Callithrix jacchus: one gene and its partners. The protein of the gene in region 1 interacts with the protein of each later gene in a biochemical or structural test. Links are inferred from orthologs where the notes say so. Each region holds a gene or a part of one and is shown in the gene's direction. Other genes may lie near its edges.

Region 1 (4,085 bases):
TCACTGCAGCCTTCGCTGTGCCAGTTCAAGGGCCTCGTTCTCTCAAAGTGGTGGGATTGAAGGCGTGGGTCACCGCGCCCAGACTCAGGTGATTTTTAAACAAGTCCGGCCGTAGCTGCAGGTATCCTGGTTCTGTAGGAACGACGAAGTATGGACGGATCCACACCTGGATCTATGGATGGGAAGGATCTCAGGGAGGCCCTGGACGGAGGGAAATGCTCTGGTTTGCTAAGCCTGGCACCGACTGAGACCCACCCACAAAGCGACCCATGGAAGTCCCTGGCGGCCTCCTCTGCTCTGCCGCGGGGGAGCCCTGCAGGTGGCTCCCGACCTGCTCCCGGGCCATCTGGTGACGCTGACTTCGCAGCCACCACCTTAACTGGCGCGTAATACCAACCAGGGAACCCGTGGGCGGCCAGAGGCCCGGCTCTACGGTCAGCCCGCCCAGGCACCTCTCCCTGCCATGTGAGGCCAGAAAGTTACTTCTCCGAGGCTGTTTCCCGTGACCAGAAATACCTCCCGCCTGAGGTTCTGTGGGGTAGGGGAGGTTCGTGCACTTCTCACAGAAAACGTCGCACAGACCCGCCACTGCCTTTATTAAGAGCTCTCAGGAGGCTGCCTGGAGCCGAGGGTGTCTCCGGCCCCATGCTCGCGGGCATCAGGGCGAAGCTGTGCCCCCGAAAGGGCCAACGGGAACTCCGCGGTCCCTGAACTTCCGGCGCTGGAGGGCTCCTCGCTCAGGGCTGCCGGGAGCCGCGGCGTGAGTGCGTGCCGGGGCCGCGCGCGGGATCTCTGAGGCCTCGAACCTCAGGGCTGTCGGAGTCTAGAGATGCAACCACGCTAGAGAAACGAAGGCCGCCCGATTTACACCACCCCCGCGCTCCCCTCACACCCGGCGCCAAAAACGCTAGTCCCACGGCGCAGGCTGGGACCCGCGCGCCCACGGCCCAATCAGCGCGGGCCTTCCACAAAGCGAGCCCCGCCCCCACGCCGCTGCTGCCAGCACCTCCCCCTCCCGTGGCCGTCTCGGCCCGCCCATTCCCAGCCCCGCGCCGTTCTTGGTTAGAAGCTCGCGATTGGCTCATAGGGACGGCCGCGAGCTCTGGTTGGCCGGCGCGGAGTCACGAGGGCGTCGTCGTCGTCTTTCCACAGGCGATTACTGGGCAGGCTCTGTCTTTCGCCTCAGTCTCGAGCTCTCGCTGTCCTTAGGGTGTACGTGCTCCGGGATCTTCAGTACCGCGGCCGCCATCGCCGTCGCTTGGCTCCCTCTGGGCTCATCTGCGTCACTTGCTCGCTCCACACTCCGCCGCCATAAGCTGTCGTCATGGTGAAGCTCGCGAAGGTAAGCGGCCTTGAGTGCGAGCACCGAGATCTAGGCCTGCTTTCCGAGGGGTGAGCGCGGCGCCGCGGGGAGGAGGGCCTGCGCGCAGTCCCGGCCGCGTTCGAGGGCGCCATGCTGCGGGAAGTCTCGCGCGATTAGTGGGGAGGTCTCGCGGTTTCTGGCTACTTGGTGGCGAGGTGAAGAGCTTCTGCAGGTGTTGGGGGCGGCGAACGCGGCGGGAAAGACAGAGTCACTGAGCGCGGGGAGGGGGCGCTAGGCCCCGGGGCAAGGAGATGAGACCAGACTCATCTCGCGTACGAGATGCGACGCGTACGAGCTAGAACCCGACTCCTGACGCACGTGCCCGGGAGCGCGGCCTGCCACGTGGGCCTCGCCGCGTGGGTCCGGGAATCTCCAGAGGGAGTGGTGCGTTAGGGTGGGAAATGGCGGTATCGGCCCGAGTCGGAGGACCGGCTGCGCTCGGGATGTCTGCCCCTGCCCGGCAAGCCGACACGTGGTGGGCCCCGGAAGGTGGCTCTGCCGCGGTGTTTCGGGCACGTGGTGGCCTACCAGGTACCCCCACGTGGCCGCGCCGCCTCTTTTAGGGGCGGGGTTGTCTCGCTGGGAAAGGAATAACGTTCATCAGAAAACCAAGGTATTTTTTTTAAGTGCCTTAATGATCTTCACTCATAATTTGGATTTGGATTTGGATAAGGGTTGTAGAATAAGGTTCCGGGATTTGAAGTACTAAAACACGGGTGTACTTAGAAAGCCTAAGGAAAAAAAAAAGTCAAACCTACGGTAAAAAGTCAACCTGAAGAAATGATTTCTTCACTTCTTCAGGTTGACTTTTTACCGTAGGTTTGATTTTCTGTTTGTAGAGCCTGACAGCAAACATGTGTGGGCGGTTGAGAGCAGGACCTCTTGCATTGCCATTAGGGCTAGTTTTTATGTTAGTTGTGCTGTTTGGCCCTATGAGAAATGGATCTGAGGAAGGAGATGATGGCGTTTTACACTGAACAGTAATGGCAAAACGTGAATGGCCTGAAATGTCGAAGTGAAGATGTGATGATGTACTTGTTACCATTTTAGGCAGGTAAAAATCAAGGTGACCCCAAGAAAATGGCTCCTCCTCCAAAGGAGGTAGAAGAAGATAGTGAAGATGAGGAAATGTCAGAAGAAGAAGAGGAAGAAGAAGAAGAAGATGATAGCAGCGGAGAAGAGGTAATTTCATCCAACTCAATGCGGAATTAAGTTAAAACTACAAAATGGGGAGTTAGGACATGAAATTGGATGTCTATGATAAAAATAAGATTTTATTCATCTGCGTATCTCCTGTTGTAGTGATCGAGTGTTTCACAAGCTCTTCGTTCATGTCAAGATGTCATTTGGCTAAATATTTGAATGTGAGTTTGAGACAGATCTGGGGATCTCCTTTCCATGTGCCTCTGCAGGGCTTGGAGTGTGATTTGTTGTGCTGAATCGTTACATTTGTCCAGTTTCAACATGTTATCCTCACCCCCACATTTTAGACACAAGGGAAAGATCTGTTCTCTCAATGGCAGAGCTGGGCGTTGTATTCAGATCTGAGGATAACCTTACCAGATTCCTTTCCTAGGCTCCATTTAAGATTAATTGGTCTCTATTCCATTACACTACTCACTGTGTTACTGTTGTCTCTGGTGTAGACTGAGGGCTGCCACCGCCCTTTGTGTTAACGTTTACCCTCTAGCACTCCTGGCTATTTATTTGTTCGCTATGAAGACAAGTGAGGACTGAATTGTGCTCAGACTTCTCTTTGAGAATTGAATAAAAGTTACTTTTCCATACATTGCCTGATAAAACTAGTAATCAAAAAGCAGATTTCAGTGGGACTTTATTAATGTAGCTAAATGGTGGATTCATCGTTTTGTAAGGGATATTCAGCCTATTTGATCTTCATTTCATCTCGTATCTTAAGAATTGAGCTTCACCAAGCTTGGTACCAGCACCTACTGTAGGAGCCTCAGATGATTTAATAACAGTTAATGCTTGGAGCCTCCTATGTGTACGGTTGTGAATAATTTACACATAGCAATTCCTGTTCCTTAGACATGTAAGGATGATACTATTACCATTTTCAGGTGAGAAAGTTGGGATTTGGGAAAGTATGAGGTATGAGAATTCAGAGGTATTTTAAGTGTTCAGAAGGGTTCCTTATTCCTAGATATTCACCTGATAATATGGAGTTTAACATGGTAACGTGTGTCTAGGGCTTGTGGTCTTGAACCATAGGCATTGACAGAATCTAACACTAGTTGGGACCATGGTTGTCTTCTTACTGGTTTGGTTTTCATTTATTCTCAAGGTTGTCATACCTCAAAAGAAAGGCAAGAAGGCTGCTGCAACCCCAGCAAAGAAAGTGGTAGTTTCCCCAACAAAAAAGGTTGCAGTTGCCCCACCGGCCAAGAAAGCAGCTGTCACTCCAGGCAAAAAGGCAGCAGCAACACCTGCCAAGAAGACAGTTACACTGGCCAAAGCAGTCGCCACACCTGGCAAGAAGGGAGCCACACCAGGCAAAGCATTGGTAGCAACTCCTGGTAAGAAGGGTGCTGCCATCCCAGCCAAGGGGGCAAAGAATGGCAAGAATGCCAAGAAGGAAGACAGTGATGAAGAGGAGGATGACAGTGAGGAAGATGAGGATGATGACGATGATGAGGATGATGATGAATTTGAACCAGCAGTGGTGAAAGCAGCAGCTGCTGCCCCTGCCTCAGAGGATGAG
Region 2 (4,249 bases), on another chromosome or scaffold:
GCAGATGATGTGAGGTCAGGAGTTTGAGACCAGCCTGGCCAACATGGTGTAACCCCATCTTTACCAAAAAATAAAAAAATTAGCTGGGCATGGTGGCATGCATTTGCAGTCCCAGCGACTCAGGGGGCTGAGGCAGGAGAATCTCTTGAGCCCAGGAGTTCAAGACCAGCCTGGGCAACAAAGGTAAGACCCCCGTCTCAGGCTGGAGTGCAGTGACACCATCATAGCTTACTGCAGCCTCAACTTCCTGGGCTCAAATGATCCTCCTACCTCAGCCTCCTGAGTAACCGGGACTCCAGGCCCCCACCATCACACCTGGCTAAATTTTGCATTTTTTGTAGAGATGGGGTCTTGCCATGTTGCCCAGGCTGGTCTCAAATCCTGAGCTCAAGCAATCCACCAGCCTCCCAAAGTGCTGGGATGACAGCCCTTAGCCAAGAAACCCTGTCTCCCTGAATGAATGAATGAATGAATGAATGAAAGGCTTCAGGCTGAGGACTTTCATTCTCGAAGGTGCTGAGGAATTGTTTGTAATAGTGGATGCCTGGAAGGCAGTGGGGAGAGGCTTCATTTTTCAGTCCCGCTGGGGCCCAGGGCACGAGTTGCACTTCGGCAGACAAGAGCCGGCCTGTTTTCAGCAGCATGTGTTGCGTTAACAATGTAAGAAGAAAATGGAAAGAATTTGAAAAATCGCTGGGGTATGCAGAAGAAGGGCTCCCAAGTCTGGGAGGAGGGGACATCAAAGCCAAGTTTTTGTTACCGGTCAGCTGCCATGTCAGGTCCTGGCCGAGACCCTCAGCCTGCCTGAGTGGGAGGGGTGCTAAGTGGGTCCTGTCTGTGGGTGGTGGGCGGCGGGGCGGGTCTCAGGGGGCGGCTCCACTTGGGCCCTCTGCGGCCTCAGTGCCCTGGGACGGTGGCGTTTGTCGCTTGCTGTCCGCCCCTCCCAGGCAGGGATGGTGTGAGCGCGCTGGTCCCCAGAGGGGCACACACACCTTCCTTCCACGAGCACCCCCGTGCCCATGGTCTTGGTGGGCTCAGCAGGTGCCCTCTGCGCCCGAGACCCCTGCGCGGCCCCACAGTGGGTATGCAGGCTCCGTCCTGGCGCATATGGCTGCACGAGGGTCTCACCCAGGACGTCCAGGTTTTGGGGGTGCCTCACGCCTGGGCAGGTGGGGCGCTGAGCCCCGGATAGGGGCAAGCGGCGGCGACTTCCCGGAGGGTTCTTGGGGCGCTCGGGCTGGGGGGTGCCGGAGCGGCCAAGGGAGGAGGCCACACGCCCGCCCGTCCGCGCCGCTGGGGGCCGCCCGCGGGCCTTGCCGGCCAGAGCGCAACGTGCGCCCCGGGCCCCGCGCCGGCACTGGCTGAGCGACCGCGGCTGAGACACGAGCAGTGGCGGCGGCGGCGGCGGCAGCGGCGGAGGGCGGGAGGAATGCGGAACCTGCGAGCGGGCTGAGGCCGCCCGGGATGGCGCAGGGACGGCGGCGGCGGGCGGCCTGCACGGGGTCCTAGCGAGCCGGGCGGACGCTCCCTGCCCCGGCCCCGGCATCGGCATCGCGGGCGCATCGCGGCCATGGCCAAGGAGCGGCGCAGGGCGGTCCTGGAGCTGCTGCAGCGGCCGGGGAATGAGCGCTGCGCGGACTGTGGCGCCCCGGGTAGGTGCGGGCCGGGTAGGCCCTGGTGGGTGGGCGCAAGGGTCCCGGGTGGGCGCGGGGGTGCCGGGGACTGGGCGGGCGGGGGTGGAGGCGCAGAACACCGGGCCAGGTCGGCGCTCGGGTGGGGCCCGGGCCCGGCTGCACCTGCGGGGACCCAGACGTCTCCCCGGGCCGGGCGGAGCGGAAGGCGCCTCCCGAGGGCCCCAGAGGCCCCCCGGCCGCCGCCTCCCCTCCCCTCCCCCGCCAGGCTGCGTGTCTCTCGGTCACCGTGGACCGCCCGCCGCGTTGCGAAAGCTCAGGCTCCGCATAGAAAGAGGAAATTGGGGCTAGCTGCAGGGAGGGAACGGACTGCCGGCCGAAGGGCTCTGCCGGGGTGCGGGGTCCGTCGGCTCGGGGGCCACCTCGGGGTGACGTCATGCCTCACCCCCTCCCGCCTGCGCTGGGTCGGGGGTCCGTGGGGGTGAGCGGCGCCCCTCCCCCGCTGCCTGCACCTGGCTGCTCTGGTGCAGGTGCCAGGACAGATGGGACCTCGGAGAGGTGGAGCCGGATGCAGGTCGTGTTCACCTGCCGCCAGTTTTCCTGGCCAGGTATCCCTGACTTGGTTCCTTGCACCCCTGGTCTGTGGGATGTCAAGGCACTGGAGTCCAAAGGCGGGGAGTCCCTCCCTTCCAGGCCTGGTCCTGCCATTGGCTGCAAAAGGGCCCAGCGCCCAGACCAGCCCTGCCCTGCTCAGAGCTGTCAGCCCCAGGCCATTTGTCCTGTGTGGAGAGGGACCTGCAGGAGCAGTCCCACCACCCCGGGCACACCAGGAATCTGGGGGCCAATTGCCCAAGCCCCTCGGAGCAAACCTAAACTCACCAGCAGTGGCCCAGGTTGGGGGGCGGGGAGGGGATGGAAGACCCTGCATTTGCCCCCAGGGTCCTGGATCAGCATGCAGCCTCTGCACACCTGGAAATAGGACCTGATTCCCTCAGCAATGGAGGGATCTCTGCCAGCCCCAGGTCTTGGTGGCTGCTGTCCAGCCACAGTGTGGCTGGAGAGGCCACACCAGGAGCTGGGGTGGTCAGAGGGGGACAGTCACAGGCTTTTCTGGAAAGACAGGTTGGATCCACAGCCTTTCCATGGCCTCCTGAAGCAGGATGGTGCAGGGTCTGTGCCATGGTGTGATGGGGCGGCCCCCTGGGCTTGCTCACCCCAGACTCTCCCCACTGACCCCCAACCTTTATTTCCGCCTGTTCAGGAATGCTTGGCCAGAGAGCCAGAGGAAAGGGCCTGGTGTGGGGTTGCTGTGGCCCAGCAGGAGGGAAGCTGGGTTTGTCTCTGAACCTCTGGCCACACAGCCTGGGAGCAGCTTCTCTGGATGTAGAGCCCCTCTCCAGCCACCCTCTGGGCCTCCCAGCCTGGCAGGAGGAAGAGGGGACTTCCCTAGTCTGCTGGGCCCTTCAGTGGCCCTTCTCCTCCCAGTGGGTACAAGTGTGCCTCGACCACCTGCTATGCTTCCAGCCTGCCCACCCCCCGCCGAGCAGTTCTCGCCCCCCCATTCCCCATGCTGCCTGGCACAGGGCCGCACCTCTGCTTTTTTAGAATTGGCTCATGACCTCAGTGTCTTGCCTCCTCTGTCGGGTAGCACCATGGAGTGGGGATATTGTGAAGGGTTGCTCTCATTTCTCAGTCAGGGAGACTGATGCCTTGCAAACTGGAGCTGTCTTAGGGGACGTGAGCCCCAAAGGTAGACCAGGCCTCCTAAGGCCGGGCCACACCCGGCCACTGTGCTTATCCCCGCTCCCAAGGGCTATGTCCATGGGGTAGAATGGAGGTATCAGGAGGTGGGGGGCTGCCCAGCCCCCCATGATCCCATGGCATATCCTGGAGGGCTCTGTGCTTCTTTGCTGATGCTTGCTGCTCTGGGGCCTCCCATTCCTGCTGTGGCCCGGCAGGGTGAAGAGGAGCCTTGCCGATGTTGATAGGGGCTGGGGTGACCGACACTTTCTGCTGTCCTCAGAACACCGTCCTATGCACTGGCTCACAGCTGGTACAGACCTGGACAGCAGTGGGACATCAGACAGGCCCAGGCCTGGGGGTGCTGGGGTGGACTTGGACAAGCCTCACCCACTGGCGGTGTGAGGGAGGCAGTGTGGGGATCTCTGCAGCCTCCACAGAAGCTCTTTCCAAACTCTCTCCATTATCTATCCCAATAGTGGGTTCCCCTGGCCTTGAACAGGGGGCCTCACCCAGCGGCCACCCAGAGAGCCTCTCATCTCAGGCCTGGCAGGTAGGTGAATGGGGATGTGCTTGGATCCACTGTCCTACGAGACCTGGGTGGGGGTCTCCATCCTAGGTGGGGGTTGGGGGAGGGAGGAGGTGCCTCTGCATCCTTGGAGCTGCCTGCTGAATTGCAACAAAGAACAGGGACCGGGTGTGCTTTGGGAGGCTAAGCCAGGAGGATCCTTTGAGGCCAGGAATTGGAAGCTGCAGTGATTTGTGATCACACTGCAGGCTAGGCCAGAATGAGACCCTGTCTCAACTAAAGGAAAAAAAGACAGATTCTCCTCTTTGAGTCTCAGCCCGTCTGATGCCCTGGAAGGACTGGGGTGTCT
Region 3 (3,614 bases), on another chromosome or scaffold:
ACTGTGGGTTGCTGCTCACTTCGTGTGGAGCACATCAATCTACACCCAGAGTTGGATGGTCAGGAATACGTGGTAGAGTTTGACTTCCTTGGAAAGGACTCCATCAGATACTACAACAAGGTCCCTGTTGAGAAACGTGTAAGTTAATTTAGCCTGTATTGTCTGGCTTGTTTTTCATTATTCAACAAGCATTGCTTGAGTGCTTTGTGTCCTCTGCAGTTTGCTGGGTACCAGCAAAAGTGACTTGAGACAGGCATTGTAGCACATGCCTGTAGTCCCAGCTACTTAGAAGACTGAGACAGGAGAATCACTGGAGACCAAAAGTTTGAGGCTATAGTGTGCTCTGATCACACCTGTGAATATCCATTGTACTCCAGCCTGGCCAACAGAGTGAGACCCTGCCTCTAAAATTAAAATAAATAAATGACTTGAAAGAGGGGAGAGGTAATATTTGATGTCTTGTGTACCTCCTTTTAGTCACTGTCCCACCCTGTATTACCTTTCTGATAAGGACATTTGTCACTTGGCATCTTTACTTAGCCTCTCTCCAACTCCTGACTGAGTGAAAGGTTAATCTGTTAGTCCCCAGATCCCACCACTGAAGAGGGTGCTAGAGCTCCATAGTCCCAACCTGATCTTTTCCAAAGTATTGGGCTGGAACCAGAGACCTGTAGTGTGCAGGATACTAATAATCCAGCCCAGCAGCAGTCTCAGATTTAATCAGTAATTAGACTTTGCTGGCCGTGGAAGAGTACTCTATTAGATGCTAAAGCGATTTGACAATTAAATGTAATGCCTGACCTCAGATTGGATTCTATACTGATGAAGTAAAGGGCATCATCAGATAAAGTGACAAAATTGGATTGTGGACAGTAGATTAGATAACAGTAGGTATCAATGTAAATTTTTGAAGCTGATAAATACTGTGTAAATGTAAGGGTATATCTATTTTTACAATGTACAAACTGAAATATTTAGGGTTAAAGGACTGTATGATAAGTAAGTACTTATAAATGGCCCAGAGCAAATAATTATGTATATATATCTGTAAATATACATGCGGAGAGAGTGAGCATACATGTGCCCTGTGCAAATGATGAATGAGGTAAAAGGTTAACAGTGAATCTGGGTGAAGGATGTATGCATGTTCCTGTGCCTTTTTTTTCTTTGCAAGTTTCTGTAAGTTTGGGATTATTTCTAATGTAAGGATTTTTTTAAAAGAGTAATAATTGGGATTCACTTATTTCTTTTAGGTTTTTAAGAACTTACAACTATTTATGGAGAACAAGCAGCCTGAGGATGATCTTTTTGATAGACTCAATGTGAGTAGACAAAGCACACTGGGTTGAAGGGATTCCCAGCCAGAACCTCAAGGGGAGGGTTGCTGGCAGATAACGGGCTCTTCCTTTAGCCTGGCCTGCTCTGTGGCATCCTGTATACTCTCTCTTCCTCCCTCCAAGCCCACGGTGAATCTGTGGCCAAGAGAAGACACATCTGCTGTAGAACAAATGCTAAGGCCCTCAAGGTGAGAGTAGATGAACCCTACCTTTTATCCCTTCCCTGCTCCTGCAGAGCTTTCCCTTCACTGAATGCCCAGCCATCCCTACTGGAGACCCAAAACCTGTGCCTGAGATCTTGATAGGGAAGGACAAATTTGCTTTATTGGTCTGTTAAGATCAAAATACTGGGCCAGGCTTGGTTGCTTACGCCTGTTATCCCAGCACTTTGGGAGGCCAAGTAGGGCAGATCCCTTGAGGTCAGGAGTTTGAGACCAGCCTGGGTAACATGGCAAAATCATTATCTAGGCGTGGTGGTCCATGCCTATAGTCCCAGCTACTTAGGAGCATCAGGAGGATTTCATGAGCCCAGGAGGTGACGGCTGCAGTGAACCGAGATTGCACCACTGCACTCCAGGCTGGGTGTCAGAATGAGACCCTGACATACGTACACACACATGCACACTGAAATACTTCATAGAGAGGCATTATGTAACCCTGTATTCTGGAATTCTTTTCCTAACTTCTCACTTGTAGGGAAATAAACTTGACACGATTGTGACTGCACTGGTATAAATTACTCCTAGGGCTGCCAGAAGGAGCAGGTAGTACAGCTTTGACCTAAGTCTCTGTTACATTGTCTCCTCCAGACTGGTATTCTAAATAAGCATCTTCAGGATCTCATGGAGGGCTTAACAGCCAAGGTATTCCGTACATACAACGCCTCCATCACGCTACAACAGCAGTTAAAAGAACTCACAGCCCGTAAGTATTACTTGGCTGGACAGGGCCCACACCCCTACTCATGGTATCCGGTGTCCTTGCTTAGCTAAGTCCTAGAGTCAGTTCTACTTTTTTTTCCCTACCATTGTGATCAGACACTTTTCCTCTTTAGACCTCTAATAGTTAGCTAATGCTTAGTTGTATAAACTTAAGATCAGTGCTGTTTCCCCCTTCCCACCCCAACTTCAAGATTAATTTCATGGATTGCTGACAGCTTTTTACCTGCTATGAAAATACCTGCATTTGTGTTTTATTAATATATTACTTAAAAGCTCACAGAGTGAAGGCAGTGCTGTGATGTTCTGTTAAATTGAAGAGAGTAAAGTTGTCATGTTTATGAGAAAGATACAGGGATAAGTCCTTTCCCTAAAGTTTCTATCATTTTTTTTCCCTGTAAGAGAGTAGATACTTTCTATAGCCAATTTTTAGAATATTATCACCAAGATCACGGACTTTTTTTTTCCTGGAGCCCAGTCACTAATGAATTTCCACTGCCCTCTGTAAATACGTCAAATGGCCTTAGAATATGAACCAGAAAAGCCAGAGGTAGGTATGTTCAGGTCAGTGTTTTAAGGTGATAGAAAGAATGCGACACTGTTTATACAAGTAAAAACAATTTTTTTGGATGACATTTACAATTTTTCTTTTTAAATAATATACTACCAGGCCAGGTGCAGTGGCTCACACCTGTAATCCCAGCACTTGGGTAGCTGTGGCAGGAGACTTACTTGCACCCAGCAGTGTTCCAGACCAGCCTGGGCAACATAGTGAGACCTCATCTCTACAAAAATTTGTAAAAATTAGGCAGGTGTAGTGGTAGTCCCAGATACCTGGGAGGCTGAGTCCAGGAGTTTAGGGCTGCAATAGCCACAACCATACCACTGCATTCCAGCTTGGGTGACAGAGTAAGACCCAATCTCTAAAATAATAATAATCATAATAATACTACCACTCATAGCTTAAATTTTTTTAACTTTTAACATCTCTTCAGTTCCTCATTTTGTTCAGGCTACATTGGGTAGAGAGATAGGGAGGCAGGGAGGCAGGGAGTGGCCAGTATAGAACTTAATGAATATGGGCAACAAACCATAGTAATAATAGCAGCAGCACCTATGACAAGCATATGGGTAGGGAGGAAGCAAGGAGATGAAGGGTCCCTAGCCAAGTTCTCTGAGTAAAAAGAAAGGTGTAGATTTTATTATATTACCTCAGAGTTCCTCTTGTGATGGGAATTTACCCAGGCCAAGCTTACATATTAACTTCCTATTTTCTTATGACTGTTGGCTCAAATTTTGATCTTAGGCGTTGGAGGCAAGTTGAATTACCTGAGTAAGA

The links.
Region 2: the proteins of NCL (region 1) and ADAP1 form a complex in vitro, tested with the Homo sapiens proteins (2 studies listed by BioGRID). The link is inferred for Callithrix jacchus from reciprocal best matches to the Homo sapiens genes NCL and ADAP1.
Region 3: the proteins of NCL (region 1) and TOP1 form a complex in vitro, tested with the Homo sapiens proteins (2 studies listed by BioGRID and IntAct). The link is inferred for Callithrix jacchus from reciprocal best matches to the Homo sapiens genes NCL and TOP1.

The regions. Positions count from the first base shown.
Region 1 is NC_133507.1:152,901,806-152,905,890, reverse strand, and holds the start of NCL (nucleolin), read left to right. Parts: upstream 1-1,184; 5' UTR 1,185-1,324; coding exon 1,325-1,342; intron 1,343-1,754; exon of another isoform or gene 1,755-1,976; intron 1,977-2,413; coding exon 2,414-2,545; intron 2,546-3,668; coding exon 3,669-4,085. UniProt on the Homo sapiens protein: Nucleolin is the major nucleolar protein of growing eukaryotic cells. It is found associated with intranucleolar chromatin and pre-ribosomal particles. It induces chromatin decondensation by binding to histone H1.
Region 2 is NC_133503.1:58,060,094-58,064,342, forward strand, and holds the start of ADAP1 (arf-GAP with dual PH domain-containing protein 1), read left to right. Parts: upstream 1-1,356; 5' UTR 1,357-1,570; coding exon 1,571-1,652; intron 1,653-3,850; exon of another isoform or gene 3,851-3,924; intron 3,925-4,249. UniProt on the Homo sapiens protein: GTPase-activating protein for the ADP ribosylation factor family. Binds phosphatidylinositol 3,4,5-trisphosphate (PtdInsP3) and inositol 1,3,4,5-tetrakisphosphate (InsP4). Regulates the incorporation of CD63 and CD9 into multivesicular bodies.
Region 3 is NC_133506.1:36,462,076-36,465,689, forward strand, and holds part of TOP1 (DNA topoisomerase 1), read left to right. Parts: coding exon 1-138; intron 139-1,253; coding exon 1,254-1,322; intron 1,323-2,146; coding exon 2,147-2,261; intron 2,262-3,614. UniProt on the Homo sapiens protein: Releases the supercoiling and torsional tension of DNA introduced during the DNA replication and transcription by transiently cleaving and rejoining one strand of the DNA duplex.